Linked DNA regions of Coturnix japonica. The protein of the gene in region 2 interacts with the protein of the main gene of each other region in a biochemical or structural test. Links are inferred from orthologs where the notes say so. Each region holds a gene or a part of one and is shown on either strand. Other genes may lie near its edges.

Evidence for each region. The genes of interacting proteins can lie anywhere in the genome.
Region 1: the proteins of SMAD2 (region 2) and ERBIN form a complex in vitro, tested with the Homo sapiens proteins (2 studies listed by BioGRID). The link is inferred for Coturnix japonica from reciprocal best matches to the Homo sapiens genes SMAD2 and ERBIN.
Region 3: the proteins of SMAD2 (region 2) and CREBBP form a complex in vitro, tested with the Homo sapiens proteins (2 studies listed by BioGRID). The link is inferred for Coturnix japonica from reciprocal best matches to the Homo sapiens genes SMAD2 and CREBBP.
Region 4: the proteins of SMAD2 (region 2) and ZFYVE9 are reported together in a solved structure, tested with the Homo sapiens proteins (2 studies listed by BioGRID and IntAct, with this or other methods). The link is inferred for Coturnix japonica from reciprocal best matches to the Homo sapiens genes SMAD2 and ZFYVE9.

Annotation. Positions count from the first base shown.
Region 1 is NC_029547.1:14,167,066-14,172,193, reverse strand, and holds part of ERBIN (erbin), read left to right. Parts: intron 1-822; coding exon 823-1,005; intron 1,006-2,854; coding exon 2,855-2,969; intron 2,970-5,128. UniProt on the Homo sapiens protein: Acts as an adapter for the receptor ERBB2, in epithelia. By binding the unphosphorylated 'Tyr-1248' of receptor ERBB2, it may contribute to stabilize this unphosphorylated state.
Region 2 is NC_029547.1:1,337,090-1,342,897, forward strand, and holds part of SMAD2 (mothers against decapentaplegic homolog 2), read left to right. Parts: intron 1-2,077; coding exon 2,078-2,167; intron 2,168-3,281; coding exon 3,282-3,475; intron 3,476-4,100; coding exon 4,101-4,235; intron 4,236-5,808. UniProt on the Homo sapiens protein: Receptor-regulated SMAD (R-SMAD) that is an intracellular signal transducer and transcriptional modulator activated by TGF-beta (transforming growth factor) and activin type 1 receptor kinases.
Region 3 is NC_029529.1:11,010,968-11,015,811, reverse strand, and holds part of CREBBP (CREB-binding protein), read left to right. Parts: intron 1-706; coding exon 707-868; intron 869-1,132; coding exon 1,133-1,414; intron 1,415-2,788; coding exon 2,789-4,844. UniProt on the Homo sapiens protein: Acetylates histones, giving a specific tag for transcriptional activation. Mediates acetylation of histone H3 at 'Lys-18' and 'Lys-27' (H3K18ac and H3K27ac, respectively).
Region 4 is NC_029523.1:21,732,263-21,736,178, forward strand, and holds part of ZFYVE9 (zinc finger FYVE domain-containing protein 9), read left to right. Parts: intron 1-339; coding exon 340-445; intron 446-894; coding exon 895-1,071; intron 1,072-1,894; coding exon 1,895-2,056; 3' UTR 2,057-3,916. UniProt on the Homo sapiens protein: Early endosomal protein that functions to recruit SMAD2/SMAD3 to intracellular membranes and to the TGF-beta receptor.

The DNA of each region.
Region 1 (5,128 bases), about 13 Mb from region 2:
CACATTAAAGAGCAGGGCTTACCTCTTTGTCGCCTTAAGAATCACAGAATGTCAGGGATTGGAAGAGACCTTGAAAGATCTTGTAGACCTAATCCCCCTGCTGGAGCAGGAACACCTAGACCAGGTCACACAGGAACGCCTCCAGGCGGGTTTTGAATGTCAGTGAAGAAGGAAACCCTGCAGCCCCTGTGGGCAGTCCATTCCAGTGTTCTGTACCCTCACTGTGAAGAAGTCTGCAATAGTTACCTGCTTTGTAGTAGAGATTTCCCTCTTAACACTGACAACAAAGAAAATGGCTTGATTCTCAGGGAAATAAGAAGTACAAATGTGTAATGGAGCTTATTTCCTAAATTTCTGGAGGAGTTCTTATTTGACCACCAAACTTGAAAAAGGAAAGTGGGGATCATTTCTAAGAATCATAACTGTTGCCCTCACAACTGATGGTTTTGCACGTTAAGTTGGGAAGGCAATAGTAGCAATTTGGTGTACAGGTCACTGACAGCTTGATGTACTGTAATATGTGGCAGGACTGTTTGGCATGTCTTCGATGCTGACTTGTCTCATTGTAGATACACTTGGCTTTTTTAAATTAAACTGGAAGTTTAATGGTATGAAGTGACCCCTGTAAGGGTGAGAGTGAAACCAATTGGAAAAGAGTGAGGGCTACAACTGAATGGTCTGGAGAGATTTCTCTCTACCTTGTGTATTTCATACTTGATCATTTCAAACATCTTCTGTTCCATAGTTTCCCATACTATTATTTCTGAATGTTTCTGAAAAAGTTTTCAAATGTTTTTTCTACGAATGTTCTTAATCCTGTAGACTTCAGAAATTGTTCCAATGAAGAATAAGGCTGATGAGAGAAAGCAGTATTCAGCAGGAAGCTCTGTGCAGAAGCCTACTGAACCAGAAGCTGAGCACTGCACTGCAAATTCGCAGATGGCTGCACTTGTTAAAACCTTGCAGAACACAAAAACAGTTGTTAACCATGAAGACACGCTTGAGGTGAGGCATTGTGATGAACACTATAGCAGTCAAAGAGTTGTGCTGGTGTTGCATCAGACTTGTTTATAAGAGAAATGAAAATTCATGTTGACAAAAGCAGAAAATTTCTATCCACAAGTACTGTTAGTACAGAGGGATTTGTAACTGTAAATGTCTTCCTAATGCAGTATTGTTCTCACCTTAGCTGTATTATAAGTGCAAGTTGAAAAATGTAAGAAGTTGTTCATAATGAAACTGTAGGCATTTAGAGAAAAATAAGTCAAGCGCAGAAATTGATCTGAGTACTAAGCTCTGGAAAAGATTCTTTCTTAAATGGAATTTTCCAGTTTCCACTTGATTTTCAGCACCTCAGGAAATGATTGATTGTGATTGTCTCTGAAATGCCAAAGTATCTTGTCAGTAGGAGCAAGCAAAATCTTGAATATACAAGTGAATTGCCTGTTCATTTAAAATAACAAGTGGGCTTAAAAATATGTTTTTGTATGTATTTAGTAGTAAGATATCTTAAATATGACTTGTGTTACAGAAATCAGATACTCGTACTTTCTGAACTCTTTGTACATCTGTGACAAACATGCATATATTTTTTAATTTAGAGCATGTTTCAGCATTAGTATCATTTTGGAACTTGTCAGTTAATCACTTGCCAATCACAGCATGTGAAATGTTTTTTGGAGTTTTTGCAGTAGTTTCACAAACTGATAATTTTGTGTGTGCGTTGTGCAAGCAGTGGAGCATGCATTTATCATGCGATAATGAGACTTAATGGCCAGCCGTTGTGGCTGTTGCTGGGTCTTTTCCCCCTGGCGTGTTCCTGCTATTACATGCTTTCATAAAATACTGGTTCTAACAGTTTTCTGCAGTTTAAAAACATTACTTAAAAAAAGAAAACTACCAGTTGTCTGGCAGTGGCAGTCATTCTTTTAAACCTGGCTGTAAGCCAGTAAGGAAATCAGGCAGTTGTTTGTAGTCAGCCGTGGATAGCAAATTCCTTACTTCCTCATAGTAACTTGCTAGTAACTTTGTCTCCATCCACATAACTTTATATGCATAAAAGCTTTTCCTTTCAATGTTAATTACTCTTGTTATATATCACACCTAAGGGGAAGGGCAATATGGCAGAGGTAGCAAAGAGATTATCTGTTCTTATTACAGAGGAACAGGGTTGTTATAAAGTTGGTCACAAAGTGTTTGCTACTTCTCAGTTTTACTGTCCTTTACTGTAGTCCAAAGAACAAGGTAGTTAGTGTCATTGAATTGGTGGTACTGTATTTTGTAACAGAATTTTCACTTAAAGGAAGAAAAGAAAGATTTTTTTTTTCATTACAGAGAATATTAATGAAAGAAAATTGTATTCTTGAAGATGGTAGGAGTATGTGGGCCAGGCAATAGAATTCTGAATCTCTTGTGTGGCTGCTCTTGCAGGCAGCTTTGTCAGTTTGTCTCTTTCAGAAGTGCACTGAGATCTGATGGTTAGGATCTGAAGAATTCTAGCCTAGATCTATTCAGCGTCATTTATTCTTGAAGTTAAATATCTTCTCTTCCATTTGAAAGTTTACCCTAGTGTGTGAATTTCAAAATGAAAACCTAAGCTGAAGATACCAATTTTTGCTATCATTCCCTCTGAGATCATCACACACAAAACAAATGTGTGTGTTATGCATCTTAAATATAATTGAATCGAAAAAGTTAAATTCATTTGATTTGCTACATAGTTGCTATGTTAGGTCTGTGTTATTTGTTTATCTTTACTGTTTATTAGATAGGATGATGATTTAGATCAGTTTTACCTAACCTTTAGCCACGTATTTAAAATGCTCTCTATATAAAACTGTTTTTCCTTTTGCAGGAGTCAGAAGAACTCTCCTCTGATGAAGAGATGAAAATGGCAGAAATGCGACCACCACTGATAGAAACTTCCATCAACCAACCAAAAGTGGTAGCTCTTAGCAACAATAAAAAAGGTTAGATATTATAAAAAGGAGTACTGTGTGATTCTAATAATTCCATGACTCAAAATGTCTAATTTTCCCATTTAAATGCTGTGAAAGGTGATTACATGTGTCTGTTAAAGGAAAGATGGCCAGTTCTCTAGTTGAGCAATTAATTTGTTGAAATCAGAGAGAGTCTTGAGAAAGAAGTTTTGATTGGAAGCCATCTTGCCCATAGTGACCATGAAGTAGTTGAGTGAAAGGTGGAGAACTACCACCAAAACTTCAACCCTGGATGTGGGGAGAGCAGACTGCTCAGAGAACTAGTCGGTGAAGTCCTTTGGAGGATTGCTTTTGACAACAGTGTGGTCTGTCAGTGCAGGTCAGTTTTTAAGCGCTACATCCTAAGATCACAGGAACAGGCAATTCCAAATGCTGGAAAACAGACAAACAGGGCAGAAGGCTGGCTTAGCTTAGCAGGGATTCTGTTTTTGAACCTAGGCAGAAAGTGTATTGCCACTAGAAGTAAGGTGTGAGGCAGTGTGGGAGGACTACTTAGATACTGTTTGACACTGTAGGGAGAAAATTCTTGTGGCCAGAGCTCACAGTTGAAGCTGGTAAGTATTGCAGGGGATAAAAACAATGGTTACTTTCAAATATATTAACATATGGACTGGGGAACAAGAAGATGGAGAGCTGCCCCATGGAAATGTTGAATCTGGGCCAGGAGAATGCCCAAACAGCCCAAAGGGCCAACTGTACCCTATGGTGCACCAGAACCAGCATTTCCACTGCGGGACGGGAAGGGATTGTCCTGCTTTGCTCTGTGCTGTGCAGCCTTTCCTCACGCACTGTGTGCAGTTTTGTACCCACAGTACTAGAAGGGTACAAAACTATTATCGCATCCAAAAGAGGGCTTCAAAGATGGGGAAGGGTCTAGAAGTTAAGATTTATGAGGTTCAGCCCAAAGAGGGGAGAGGCCTCATGGTGGCTTGCAGCTTCTTCATGAGAAGAGCAGAGGAGCAGGTGCCCATCTCTTCTTTGCAGTTATAGCAACAGGACCTGATGGAAAGACCTGGAGCTGTGGCAGGGGAGGGTCAGGCTGGGGATTAGGAAGAAATTCATCCATGGAACGGCTGGGCATTGAAACAGGATCCCAATTCAGCTGCCAGAGTTTAAGAAGGATTTGGACAGTGCTCTCAGACATAGGATTTGAATTTTGGGTGTTCCTTTGTAGAGCCAGGAGTTGGACTCTGTGATCTTTGTGGGTCTCTTCCAGCTTGGTATACCCTTTTGAGTTTATGAATATAGGAAAGACTCCTGTTATATCTCGAGTATGACTGAGAAAGCTGTGCTGACATTCCCATTTTGTTAATTTTTGTCAAAGGGGAAAAAGAATGTTTTGTGGTTTTGAGGATTGTTAGCTTGAGTACTCTCTCAGTAGAGAATTGCAGAAAATGGTGTTTTCCTTGGAAATGTTCCATACTTCTTCCCACATTTTTTTTATTATTGCTGCTGTTTTTGGCAGCAGTATCACTTGTTTTAATTTCTCAGAGAAGCTGTGCTCTCTTCCTAAGTTTTAAGAATAAACTTATTGCAGCTCTTTTTCCATAATTACCTTACTCTTTTATTATTCTTTCCTCTCACAAGAAACATCTGATCACTGTTTTTGTTAACTAAGATACTAAGGTTTATATTTTTTCTTTGGAAGATAATTTCAGTCTGGATAACCATTTCCTTTGGGGGATGGGGAGGGGAGGAACTAAATTTTTAAGCCTGAGAGGTATGAGAGGTAATTGTATTTTCTCCATATGATGTCCCCAGTCCAGAACTTTCCAGGATAAAAAAAAAAAAACAAAACAAAACTCTTCTGGCTGTTGTATGTAAGAGAATAAGATTTTTTTTTTTTTTTTTTTTTTTGAGGATGGATGAAGGAAAAGCAGCTGAGGTAGCCAGAAGAGTTTGCTGAGCATTCAGCATGGATAAATAAATCCTTTTATCAGAGGATGATGGAATAGTTTGCCCAGAGAAGTTGTGCAGTCACTGGAGGCATTCTAGGATGGGGCTTTTGGCAGCCTGAGCTATTGGATGGAAACCTTTTCTCTGGTGGGGGGTGGGAAAGAGGTCAAGGTTTTTCCAACTCCAACCACTTCATGATTCTGTGAAAAAAAAAAATTGTGTTTATTAATGTT
Region 2 (5,808 bases):
GTGCTTTTGAACTCTTACTTGCAGGAGAGGGTGGCTGAAGCAGAGTTCCCAGTGCATGTGGTCCCAGTGGGTGGCAGCTCAACAAGCTGGTGATGGTGTAGGAGGTCATAACTGGCATCATGATGGGGAACATCCTATCTGCTTCCTAGAATACAGAATCTTGGTCCAAGGCTTGGGTATGTTTCCAGGCATGATTTACCTTAGAAGTATGTATGTTAGTCCTTTATTCTTCCAGAATCTGTATGGACTAAAGCAAACCTGCATCTCTTAAGAGGTTGAAGACACATTAGAAAAGTAACTCTTAGGAGAGGATACCTCCTGTTTTGAAGGGGGGCACAAATCCTAGCTCATCAGTTTTTCTGCAGCTCCTTTTCCAACACTCCCATGTGCTTCTTCACCACCTTCCTTCTCTGTGGTGTCCTGGGTCCTAATTTACACCTCCGTCATACTTCGGAGTCATTTCAGATTACTGTTAGGTTTTGAACTGTGGTATCAACTTTGAAAGTTCAAATAATTACAGAGAAGAGGTTAATAATATAAAATACTGTACCTATTTGGCATACTCTAAGGCTGTAGCACTTCTGTATGTTCCCTGGTGTCCCACAGGCTGACTGTGTGTCTTCAGGGCAACAATTCCAGTCTTTGCATGTCCAGTCTTTGCATGTCTGCTGGCAACCCACCATGCTGGTAGAGGCACCTTAGGAGTAGCAGAGGTGGCAGGCACTGCTGAAGCAGTGATGGTCACTATCCTTCTGCCCCCTGGGGTTCTGGAGAGCTATGAATTGTCTTAGAGCATTTCACCCTCCCTGGGATGGTATTTAATTGAGGTGTGTGAGACAGGCAGGAAGGGGACCAGACCCATTCCTTCCCTTTCTCTATGGAGAAAGGGAAAAAAATTAAGTTTTAATAGAGTGTCCATGGAATTGTGGTTGTCTGTGCTAGAAATGCTGTTAAGAGCAGTGTGTCAGCTGGGGTTGGTAACTTAAATGTAAATCTCTTTTCTAAATCAGGGCTTGGGTGAACTTTATGTCCTGTCTGGTACTTTTCAGAGATTGTTAACTTCAAAGCTGAAATAGCAGCCACATTTCTGGCTTTGTGAGTGGCTCGTCGCCCAAGTTTTCTCCATTTCTGAGTCTCACTGTGTGTTACTCATGTAAAATAAATTGTCCTTTCTCAGTGGTCACAGATCACATCTGTGGTGGACCTGAGATGGGCCCATACTTCTGAGAACATGCTGCCCATTTATACACGTGTGCTGTTCTTTGCTTTGCCTCAATCTGCTTCTCTTTCAACTTGTGCTTGTGTTACTGGAGGTTCCTTTTTTTGAACTTCTGTGCTTGTCACTGAACCAGTTTCCAAAAGTTCTCTCTCATTTCCTCCTGTTTGATTTCACAATTAATATTTTGTTGTTCTGTAGCTGGGGCTACACTGTAAGTCTGTGTAAAGCGTACGTCTTGTATGCAGTAGAAAATAACAAAAATAACACCAGTGATTTAATCAAGGAGAGCGGAGAAATTAGTGAGAAGCATCACTGCAATATGCTTTTCTTCAGAGCCCAAGCTTTCCTGTATTGAGAAAAGCAGTAAATAAGAGTGTACATGGAGAATGCGGTGGCTGAATGGTGGTACCTTGGAGCCAGGCTGTGATGGTTCAGTTCCAGATGCACATGGCCCATGATTGTAATTGTAGGGCAGCTTATATTGAAAAACAAACAAAAGCAAAAAAGAAACCAACCCAGAAATGACCCTTGAAAAGAGAATTTTGGTAGGAGCGAGGCTGAGGATGTTTTGCCTGTTTTAAGGTGCATTGCAGCTGTATCAACTACTTAAAGTCAGAATTTGTTCACCCCTTAAAAACATGATCATTTACCTTGAGTCACGCGTTCCATTTTGATAGCCTCCTTCATATAGAAAATATAGCATGCGACGTCCATCCAAGTGCAAGCCTACCAGTGCTCTATCTTCTATGTGGAAGGAAGTACTCTGTACATTTCTCCATGTTTGACATCATGGTGTTTTGAATAACCACGTTCCATATTCATACCAATTTTTTGTTTTTGTTTTCAATTTATGCACAGCACTTGCTCTGAAATTTGGGGACTGAGTACACCAAACACGATAGATCAGTGGGACACAACAGGCCTTTACAGCTTCTCTGAACAAACCAGGTGAATATTCTGCCCTCTCTCCATCATAGAACCTTGTGGGAGGGATTGGCTTTGGAGGGTCTGTCATGGGATGCTATAGCTGTAAAATAGACTGAATGCTTCTTAGGCCTCAAGACATTTGCTTGCCAGTGTAGCAAACCAAGTATTCTCAGCTGATGTTTTGACCAATGAAATCCTAATTGCGGAATACTCATTTTTCACGCCAGTTGAAAGAATGGGAAGACTTGTTAATGCAAGCTCTGATGGGATTTGGTATTTCTATTAACAACGCTCGGCTACTTAATTCTTTAGACCTAATCTTACAAAGTGTTTAAACTGCTTTGTATGCCATGAGCTTTCAGTTAAATCTCACTAATTGGCTCTGATACGAGCTGCTAAAGAACTGCTTGTAAATTCTTCTGTAGTTAACAGGGGGCAAATTCTGAGCAGGGTCTTTATTTTTTCATACCACATTGCTTGATTTGTGTACTGAGGTTTGTCTCCCATCCCATAACAGTCATAAACATCTGCATTTGTGTAAGCATATGCAGTCTGTCTTAAAACTAGCAAAACGTTTTCAGCTGGTAGCAAGGCAGAGGAAGGCAAGAAGATAAAATGTACAGCCCCTGTGAGATGTGTGTTCATACTTGTTGCATCGCAGTCACACCATGTGGATCCCTTGGGCAGTTGACTGTTTAGAGGCTGATTTGCAGTCCCCAGGGAATTATTAAACTTAAAGCCGTAAAGCATCCATGCCATGGCAGAGCCTTGAGGTTTAGAAACTTGAAGGGACTGTTAAGTGTGTGATTTTCTTTCAACAACTGTCTTCTGCATTTAAAAAATGTATATGAAATGATGATCCCAAATACTTGGCTGGAGGTAAAGTGGCTTTTAATGACCCCTAAATTCACTGGCAATAATTTGAGCAGCTCAGAAATAAGTTAACGCTGTTTGATGCCATAATTTTTCTCCCATTTGATGCATTTTAACAAGAGTACACATGTCACTAGCAGTGTCAAATCTCTGAATTCTGAAAGTGAGCACAACTGCCCTTCCTGTGTGTGTACGCTGTTGACTGAGTGATGATGAGACAGCGGGCAGCCTGTAAATACCTCTCAACATCTTTCCCATGTAGATCTCTCGATGGCCGACTGCAGGTATCGCATCGTAAAGGATTACCACATGTCATCTACTGTCGTCTGTGGCGCTGGCCGGATCTTCACAGCCACCATGAACTTAAAGCAATTGAAAACTGTGAATACGCTTTTAATCTTAAAAAGGATGAAGTATGTGTAAACCCATACCACTACCAGAGAGTGGAGACACCAGGTAGGAAGTCTGCTTCTGGCTTTATAGCACTGTCCTTGTGTATTACGAAGGGGACATGGTTTAGTATATGGGTGAGCTGGGGTTGGACTGGCTGATCTTAGAGATCTTTTCCAGCCTTCATGATTCTGTGAGTGGGCATGCTGGGAGTGGGTTGATGGTTGAACTAGATGACCTTCAGTGGTCTTTTCCAACCTTAATGATTCTGTGATTCTGTGTACTTGTTCAGCATATTGTTTCAAATGAAAAATATAGAAGGATGGGATGTTCTCATGCCAGAACTGCAAGATGGTTAAGGATACAAGTTTGGAGAATACCATCTGCTGAAAGTTTTTAATAGGAAATAAACTGAAAAATCTTTATCAATGTGTTGAACGCCCCAATAAATGCTTCCAGTAGTGCTAGCAATTTCCAACTGGCAAAGGATGGTACAACGTGAAAACGAGAAGAGAAACTGAGAATGGTTCCCTAATGTGAACTAGTCATGTTCAAGAAGAATCTGCTTGTCCTAGTAACTAGCAGACACACCTGAAGAAATTGTTAGAAGGCTTAGATTTGTTTTTCGTTTCACTTCATAGAAGTGTGAGTTTGGAGGGTCCTATTAATATTTTGACTTTTTCTTTTCCAGTCTTGCCTCCTGTACTAGTGCCACGGCACACTGAGATCCTAACAGAGCTTCCTCCTCTTGATGACTACACCCATTCCATTCCTGAGAACACTAATTTCCCAGCTGGAATTGAACCACAAAGCAATTACATACCAGGTATTTTCTTACCTCCCAACATGAACAGTACGCTTATCGTTGCAGCAGTGGAGTAAAGATGGTAACTTCATCTTCCTAAGTGATCAGATGAACTGAAAGATGTAGCAGTAAATTAAATCTTGTTGATTTCCTTTATTAATTCCAGTGGAACACCTGAAGATGAAACACTGACTTAAAATTGCTTGATCTGTAGCTCATAATTGATTGGGCTCTGGTTCGTGTATTTGTTACTACCATGTACATACAGTTTTGCTGTTAGTATTCAGTATTGAATTAATAAAGAATTCTTCTTCCTCCAAAGAAGCTGGCATGCACAACTTCTTTGGGCAGCCTGTGCCAGTGCCTCACCACCCTCTCTGTGTAAAACTTCCCCAACACCTAATCTAAATCCGCCCTCCTTCAATTTAAAACCATTGCCCCTTGTCCTATCACTGTCCACCTATATAAAAAGTTGATTTCCCTCCTGATCATAATCTCCCTTTAAGAAGTGGAAAGCCATAATGAGTCACCCTGGAGCCTTCTAGACTGAAAAAGCCCTGCCCTGCCTCCTCAGCCTGTCTTTGTGGAGGGTTGTTCCAGCCTTCTCATGATCCTTGCAGCCCTCTTCTGCAGCCCTTTCCAAAAGCTCCATATCTTTCCTGAGTTGAAGTCTATAAACCTGAACACAGTACACCAGATGAGGCCTCACAAATGCAGAGAAGGACAGCCGTCTCCCTCACTCTTCTGCCTCCCATCTTCTCATACAGCTCAGGATCCTGTTAGCCAACAGTCCTAAGACAGCGCCCTAGGGAACACCACTCATCACCACTTCTACCTGGACACAGAATCACTGACCACAGCCCTCTGGCTGCCACCATCAAACCAATTCCTAATCCACTGAATAGTCCAGCCTTCAAAACAGTATCTCTCCAGTTAAGAGATCAGGATGTGATGCAGGACTATGTCAAAGGCCTTGCACAAGTCCAGGTAGAAAACATCAGTTTTCTTCTGTTTGTCCACCAATGCCATTATTCCATCATAGAAGGCCACCACATAGGCCAGGCATGATTTATTGTTGGTGAAGCTGTGCTGGCTGTCTTGGATCACCTGTTCATCCCTCATGTGTCTTCCAGGAGGATCTGCTCCATGATCTTCCCAGGCACAGAAGTGAGGCTGGCTAGCCTGTAGTTCTCCCAGTTTGCTGCTACTTCAGGAAGTTTCCAGAAAGATAAAACTTAGCCAAGCTGCCATTTATGCATAAGCATTTAAGGCAATTACATTTCAGCACCCCAGTGCCGAAGTAAGCTGATAATTCCAATCCTGACTCAAGAGGAATGACTGCCTTTAAACTCAAACATGTGATGTACACATTTTATCTGCATGTCTAATGCAGGATGCTACATGTGTTTCCTGTAATTCTATCTGAAAGCTGAAATAGAACCAAGAAAATGTCAGTGAATTTAATCTCCTTTGTTAAATCAATGCCAAATTTGTTGCCACATAGAGAGGTTGGAATTGGGTGATCTTTAAGATCCCTTCTTACTTAAGCCATTCTAAGGTTATGTGACAAGATTTTTAAAGAGCTATTCAAGAC
Region 3 (4,844 bases), on a different chromosome or scaffold from region 2:
GCTTCTTTCTTTAATTTCTATTTTGTTTTTCAGGCACATCAATCTCTGTTTTCCCAGGTCACCCAAACAGCACCATCTGCTATTTTTCACCCTGCTTATATTTAGCATTCAGTCTGTGTTCACTGTGGCCTGTGCTGTGACTTACACACAAGTGAAGGCATTGAGTGTTTGGTATTTGGGGGTTTTTTTGGCGTTGCTGATGCAGCAGCACATCTTCAGGGTGGGGTGAGACATGTTCTGGTGGTTTCACATCCTGCCTTTTCCGTGCATTAACTCTCAGTTTGTCGAATTGAAATTAATGAATTAGAACTTGAGTGTCAAGTCCTGAGTGCACAGCAAAGCAAACGGCTGCACTCACAGGGTCTGTCAAAGTCTGTTTTATTTTTAACACATTTTATTCTGTGTAAGACTTGCAAGGACAGGCAGTGGAGCTGAAGCGCGGGGAGAAGACACAACTGAATGTATGTCTGTGCATAAAAAGAAGTAAAAACCTGGGCTATTTTTAAACCACATTTGAAATCTGTTTCGTGCTGGGTTGGCTTTTGATTTCTGTCCTGGAAGATGGGATGTATTTAGCACAGTGTGGTTCATCTGCAGGCACTGGAATGAAGCTGCATTACTGACAGCAGCTGCACCTCACTTTGTGCTGCAGTGAACAGGAGAGAGCTCTGTAAAGCTGAACGTCTTCCCCGTGTGTTTCTTGCAGGGAAGTCAGGGTGACAGCAAAAACGCCAAGAAAAAGAACAACAAAAAAACCAACAAGAATAAGAGTAGCATCAGCAGAGCGAACAAGAAGAAACCCAGCATGCCAAACGTGTCCAACGACCTGTCTCAGAAGCTGTACGCCACCATGGAGAAGCATAAAGAGGTACCGTCAGAACGTGCAGAGTGCAGGGGAAGCTGGTTCCTGTAGATGGAGGTGGGGTGGTAGAACTGGAAACCAGGAGGAGCTAAAGCTTTTGGTTACGCTGAAGGTTTCTTGTAGTCGTGTAACAACATATTGGAGAGATTGCTATAATGGTGTCCATTAGATAATGGTTGCAGCGTTGTGTTTCTGCAACAGAACATGAGCTTTTCCTGTGAGATAACCTGACGTCGTTGATTTATTGCCCCTCTTCCCATTTATCTGCAGGTCTTTTTTGTGATCCATTTACACGCTGGGCCTGTCATTAACACGCTGCCCCCCATTGTGGACCCCGACCCGCTGCTGAGCTGCGATCTGATGGATGGCCGGGATGCCTTCCTCACCTTAGCCAGAGATAAGCACTGGGAGTTCTCCTCGCTGCGCCGATCCAAGTGGTCCACGCTCTGCATGCTGGTGGAGCTCCACACCCAGGGGCAGGACCGCTTTGTTTATACGTGCAATGAGTGCAAGCATCACGTGGAGACCAGGTGGCATTGCACTGTCTGTGAGGTATGTGTAGGTCACCTGGGATGGCTTCTCACCCGAGTCTCCTCAAAATTAAGCCTGTTCTGGTGTTAGCAATGTGAAGCTTTAAGGGAAGGCAACTGCCACTGTGGATCAATCTCTTCTAGAGTAGGTGCCTTTGTTTTTCTGGATGGGAAGCTGCCGTGTCCTAGAATGGTTACAGCTGAATTGCTGCCCTTGTCATCAAGCTCCTCTGCACATCCGGGCTTCAGCTTATCAAGACAGAATTTCAGGGCTGACTGACAGGGTCTGACACTGTCAGAGTAACCTGAATCTGCAGGACTGGCGTATCCATGTTGAATGGATGACCACGGGAGCAGTTGGCTCCATGTTGTATGTGGTGCTTGGCTTTGTATTGAGTGCAGCCAGGCACATGCTCAGGCTGCTGTGCAGCTGGGAAAAGGGGCTTCCAATTCAGCCCAGCTTTAGAGGTTTCTTGCCCTTTGGATCAACCCAAATAATTGCTTCCTAACCTGGCTCTGTACTTCTGATGTCTGGCCCTATTGCAGTGGAGATCACTTCTACTGAACTGCATTAGAGAGCAATTACACGTGGAGTCACACGGGTGGACGTGAGGGGCAGGTCTCCTCCATGGGGCTGTTGGTGACCTCTGGCTGCAGCTGAACTAAAAACTGTTGAGTAAATGCAGCCTCGTTCTCACACTGGAAGTTATTGCCAGGCTTGTGGTTGAAGAGTCTTAATTAATCCCTCCGAGGGGAGCACTGAAGAGGGCTTCTTGAGGCAAGGCTGGAATTAAGTGGTGAAAGGAAGTGTGGCCATTAGGTTTCTTCTGGCTGCTTCTGTGTGAGGGGAATTGTCTTCCTCTAGCAGTCAAATAAAGCACTCAGGGCAGTGAGAATGGGGTGTTTGAGGAGGTTTTTAGCTAAGTGTCCGTCTTGCCATGAAACTGGCACTTGCTTCAAGGGCTGTCTTAGAGATTAAAAAACACATTGCAGGTCAGGAATTAATTGTTAGTCAGTAATTACACCAAGGATAGTTAAATGGAGAGCAGATCCTTGGTTCTTAGCACTTAGGGTAGAGCTGTTTGCACTGTTTTGGCTCTCCTTGTGTAACTTGTCTGGTAGCCATTCCAGAGATGTAAAATTTACCATCATCAAAAAGGAAGGAAAAAACCCAGCAGACCAAACCCTGCAATGTATGGAAGCGACGGCACAGAAGCGGTGCCTGATTGCATTCTTGCCCTCAGTGGAGCCTGGGACTGTCTTGCTTCTGTTGGGCCATGTTTGTGCCCACTGTAACCCAGATGTGCTTCCACATCGGGTTCATGTTTCTCCTCCCTCCTAGTGCCGCAGGTAGCACTTCACAGGCAACTGAGCTCTGCATTTTCTTTGCTTTCAGGACTACGACCTCTGCATTAACTGCTACAACACTAAGAGCCATGACCACAAGATGGTTAAGTGGGGCCTGGGCCTGGATGATGAGAGCAACAGCCAAGGAGAGCAGCAGTCAAAGAGCCCCCAGGAGTCGCGCCGGCTGAGCATCCAGCGCTGCATTCAGTCCCTCGTCCACGCCTGTCAGTGCCGCAACGCAAACTGCTCGCTGCCATCCTGCCAGAAGATGAAGCGGGTTGTCCAACACACCAAGGGCTGCAAGCGCAAGACCAACGGCGGCTGCCCGGTGTGCAAACAGCTCATAGCTCTTTGCTGCTACCACGCCAAACACTGCCAAGAGAACAAATGCCCCGTGCCATTCTGTCTCAACATCAAACACAAGCTCCGGCAGCAGCAGATCCAGCACCGCCTGCAGCAGGCCCAGCTCATGCGCAGAAGGATGGCGACCATGAACACCCGAAACGTGCCTCAGCAAAGTTTGCCTTCTCCTACCTCAGCAACGCCTGGTACCCCCACACAGCAGCCAAGTACGCCGCAGACACCGCAGCCTGCTCCCCAGCCCCAGCCTTCCCCTGTAAGTATGTCACCGGCCGGCTTTCCCAGCGTCTCCAGAACTCAGCCCCCCACCACTGTTTCGACAGGAAAACCCACAAACCCGGTTGCGGCGCCTCCACCTCCTGCTCAGCCGCCACCGGCCGCAGTGGAAGCGGCTCGGCAGATCGAGAGAGAGGCCGCCCAGCAGCAGCAGCAGCTCTACAGGGTCAACAACATCAACAATGGTTTGCCCCCTGGTCGCCCGGGGCTCGTAAACCCGGCGGTGGGTTCGGTGAGCCAGATGCAGCAGGTCGGCATGAATGTACCGCGGCCCAACCCCGTCAGCGGCCCGGTGATGTCCAACATGCAGCCGGGGCAGTGGCAGTCGCCCCCAATGCCGCAGCAGCAGGCGATGCAGCCGGGAATGGCGAGGCCGGTGATGCCGATGGCGACGGCGCAAGCAGTGGCGGGGCCGAGGATGCCGGGCGTGCAGCAGCCGCCGCGGAGCATCCCTCCAAATGCACTTCAGGACTTGCTGAGGACCTTGAAATCACCGAGCTCTCCGCAGCAGCAGCAGCAGGTTCTTAATATCCTTAAGTCCAACCCTCAGCTTATGGCAGCTTTTATAAAGCAAAGAACGGCCAAATACGTGGCTAACCAGCCCGGGATGCAGCCGCAGGCGGGCATACAGCCCCAGCCCGGCATGCAGCAGCCGCAGACCGGCATGCAACAGCCGGGCATGCACGCGCAGCCGGGATTGCAGAACATGAACGCGATGCAAGCGGGAGTGCAGAGACCGAGCGTTCCTCCCCAGCAGCAAGGGATAGGAGCCATGAACCCGCAGGGACAAGCGATCAACATCATGAACTCCGGCCACAACACTAGCATGGCAGGCATGAACCCGCAGTACCGAGAGCTCCTGAGGAGGCAACTATTGCAGCAGCAGCAACAGCAGCAGCAGCAGCAAGGAGGGGCTGGCATGGCGGCGGGGATGGCCGGCCACAACCAGTTCCAGCAGCCCCAAGGACCGGGTGGTTACCCTCAAGCCATGCAGCAGCAGCGGATGCAGCAGCATATATCGATACAGGGGGGGTCCATGGGACAGATGGCTCAGATAGGACAGCTGAACCAGATGGGGCAGCCCGGCCTGGGGGCGGACGGCGCTCCCAACATCCAGCAGGCGCTGCAGCAGCGGATCCTGCAGCAGCAGCAGATGAAGCAGCAGATCGGCTCTCCGGGCCAACCCAACCCCATGAGCCCCCAGCAGCACATGCTCTCAGGACAACCGCAGGCGTCTCATCTCCCCGGCCAGCAGATCGCCACCTCCCTCAGCAGCCAGGTGCGGTCCCCGGCGCCCGTTCAGTCTCCCCGCCCCCAGTCCCAGCCGCCACATTCCAGCCCGTCCCCGCGGATTCAGCCCCAGCCGTCGCCGCACCACGTCTCGCCCCAGACTGGTTCCCCCCACCCGGGACTCGCAGTTACTATGGCCAGCTCCATGGATCAGGGACACTTGGGCAACCCGGAACAGA
Region 4 (3,916 bases), on a different chromosome or scaffold from region 2:
ACTGCTGTGCCTCTTGGCTCTTCCCTTATTATGAACATCCAGGCTTAGTATCAGCATTGCAGCTGTACACAGGGTCACTTATTTTGGCACCCTCTGTTCAAGGAGTTCCCTGCTGAGGCTGGTTTTGGTCTGTGCCCCATTTAGTTGATGTGATAAGTTGCTTTGTTGTAGTGGTTCAAGTTGCAGTTATGAAAACAACCTGCAGCAATTCTATTGAAGTCTAGGTGTACCAGGGGCACTGTCCTGTCCTTTGATCTGTGAGATACTTTTCCTTTACAATGTCCTCTATTAATATTTCCCGCTAAGTAGGAATTTACCCTTCTCCCTCCACTTCTGCAGTGTTGTCAGCCCTATTGATGGCAAATCAATGGAGTCTATAACAAGTGTGAAGATATTTCATGGCTCAGAGTACAAGGCAAATGGAAAGGTCATCCGATGGACAGAGGTAAGTGAGGCAAATGGAGCATTTGGGGCCTGCAACTCCAGCAGTCTTTCTTCATCCTGCACTCCCTCCATTACCAAAATTAGGGAGCAGCAGGAACCAAATCTATTCTTCCTACAGCTTGCTGTGCTACTCTTCTATTCCCAGATCTACCTGCAGGGTTAGTGACAGCAATACACATTTCTTCCTCAGGGTGAAAGTGTGGATTTTCTGCACTGAGCACCTGTTTAAAAGCAAACAGCGTACAATAGGTGGTGCCTTTCTGGAAAGAAGCTTTAGATGGAACCAGAAGGCTTTGGAAAACCTCTGTATAGTTATCTGTTGTTTGAGGGGTAGTTTGACCCTAGGGTCTTTTACTGATGTTCCTCAAGAAGCTTTTCTTGAGGCCTTCTTTCAAAAAAAGCTTTGAATGGCGTTTAATTAACTTCATGTTCTGTATCTTAATTCTTCAGGTGTTTTTCCTGGAGAACGATGAGCAGCACAGCGGGCTGAGTGACCCAGCTGATCACAGCCGACTGACTGAAAACGTGGCAAAAGCCTTTTGTTTGGCTCTCTGTCCTCATCTGAAGTTGTTGAAAGAAGACGGCATGACTAAGCTTGGTCTGCGCGTTACTCTCGACTCAGATCAAGTAAGTCTTGAACAGTTCCAGCTTAATGGCTGGTGCTGGTTGGTTGCTTCCCCAAGCCCTAAAGAATATAATGAATACACTGCCTCAAACCATTTGGTTGGCTGAAGTACCACCAGTACTGGGATGCTTGTCTGGTACTGCTGTTAGGTGATGTTTGGGGCAGTCTGTTGCCATGGGAGAGCCAGTGCATGAACCATCATTAACAGTGAGCCTGTAGCAGCTCCTGCTCTGTAGTCAAACCTGGAGCAGCCCTTGGAGGTGTGGGCCAGAGAGACCTGCTGAGAGATGCTGTAAGCTGGGCCTTTCCACCAGGAGCTGAAGAAGGGAGTAGAATAAATGTGTTGTGGTGTGAGCATAAAATATTGTTTACAAGTATGGCTGTTCTTAAAAGATCACTTTGCTTATGAGGCAGAGAAACAGATGGGAGCTTCCCTTGAGAGAGCTCTGCAGCAAACACTACAAGCAGAGAGAAGGGGCTTTTGGCACACCAGCTGGCCTTGCCTTGAGTGAAGTGTGCTTAGCATCATCCAGGTCTTAAACACTGCATGGCTTAATCTGATAGTGCAGGGTATGGTTCCTGCTGCTCTGGAAGCTCTGATTTGGTAGAACAGTGGGGGATAAGAAAAAGCTGCTTTTTCCCCCAGGCAGTCAGTGGGAACAGAGAAGACCAGGGTTAGGGTTGGGGTACATGGGCCCGACTTCCCCCCAGCTGAGATGGGGGCATCACACACAGCTCATCCTCCTGCACAGCACTGCCCTCACTACCCCCAGCCTGCTCTCCCCTTCTGTGTAAAACCCACTGTTGTTGCTTTGTATTTTTTAGGTTGGTTATCAAGCTGGGAGTAATGGACAGCCACTGCCTTCTCAGTACATGAATGACCTGGACAGTGCCTTAGTTCCAGTGATTCATGGAGGGGCGTGTCAGTTGAGTGAGGGGCCAGTCATAATGGAGCTCATCTTTTATATTCTGGAAAACATCTCATAAGAGGACTTCATTTTCTGTTCAGACCTGTTCCAGCAGCAGTTGTATCTGAATCATTTGCACTTTAAAACTGGAGAAATTAAGCTTTTGGTAACACTATTAAGGGGAGGTGGGGGGTGGCGGGAGGGACAGTTGTTCCATAATTCTAAATCTTCTATGCATTGTCAACAACCAGAGGATCAGGGCAGCTTCTATACTACAACATGGCTATGCTATCCTTGCAGCTAATAACTTCTGTTACTGTTTAGAAAAATGCTCGTGTTTCCAGACTTAGAGTACACGACTGTAAATGCTCAAACGAGTGCAAAGATCACTGGGGCGTAAATAAAATGTGAAACTCCCATCTTGTACTGTTTGTAGATGGACAAGTAAGAAACAACAATCAAAACCTCCATTCTGACCTCATCATAATGCCGTCTGTGGTTATTCTGTAGACATTAAAAAATAACGTTTACATTATTTTGACCAGATTATTGGTTGAAATGTGTCTGGAGCAGCCCTTGGAGATGTGGAACGATTACCCAGCCATAACTATGTTTGTATGTGAGAAGGGCAGGTGTCTCAGAACGCAGTATTACATACGCTGCAGTTGTGTGTGACATAGGCTAGTTTACTTTTCTCCCCCGCTCTATTTACTGTAAAGAAAACAACGACAAACTCGTCACCTCAGCCGATTTCTGTAACCTTCTACAACACCTCTGTTATCTCTGCTTTGTTTACAAACCTGTTTGAATTTCAGATACCTGTCCCAAGCAGAGGAATTGTCCTAAAGTGCAGTTATTACCCCTTACCCCAGTAGGTCCTGCTTTTTAAAGAAACACCCAGGGCAGCTTTAAGTCTCCTCCCTGCTGTACGCTGTAGTGTAACGCTAGTGTCATGTAATACAAGACAGCTCGCACTTCTTAGCAGCACCATGTAAAAGCTTACCTGTGATAAAAGCATAGAGTGTCTGTTTCTGCATGTTCTGCTGAAAAAGGCTCACTGGTCAGCTCTGAAACCCTGCACGTGGCCCAGAGCTCGTGGTCTCACCTGGGAGGGTGCTGGGGAGGCAGCTGCTCCCAGCTGGCACCGCAGTGTGGAGCTGGAACTGACACAGCTACAAGAACTGTGATTCCATAGTCTGCCCAAATGGAATCGTTCCAGTGGGAAGCTGCTGAGGAGCAGGGGCTGCCTGGTGGGCCAGGGAAAGCAGCTCCGAACCCCTCCCAGGAAGGGGGTGAACATTTTCCCCCTGCTGTCTATACAGAAGATTAGTGGGGAAAGGGAAACTACTTACACTGCAGACAGTATCTCAGACCTTGCATTGTCCCCTACTTGCAATCAGTTCTGCTGGATGCAGTGGGGATCATTTTGTTCCTGCAGTGTATGAGCGATGCAGGCATCCTTCCAAGTAGAAGAAATCCAAGGCTACCGTGAGACCAACGCTATGTTTTTTAAACAAATATACAGCATTAGCTGGGCAAAGGAAAAGGTAACTGTACACAGTGATGTATCTCATGTAAAGCCAGCACCATATATGTACAGAGTGCATTTGTGAATAAATGGCTACTGCTTTGTAAAAACGCTTTACAGATCTATAGCAGGTGACAGCTGTGAGCAGCCAGTGTTTCCAGGAAGAAAGGCCACGCTGCTGGGGTCCCAGTGCAGAGAGAAAAGCTGGCCAGCAAGAGCTGCGTGTTAGCAACACTTACCCATGAGGTATCACCCAGTACAGCCGTAACTCTGGCAGCTGGGAAAGGTGGCTGCATGTTTCACGATGGCCAAACAAACCTTAAGCAACAAACAGCCTCCCTACGTATCTGTGCAGTGGAGCAGCACTAAGGTGACTGTCAGCCTCCTCCTGCACCCGGCACAGCACAGCAC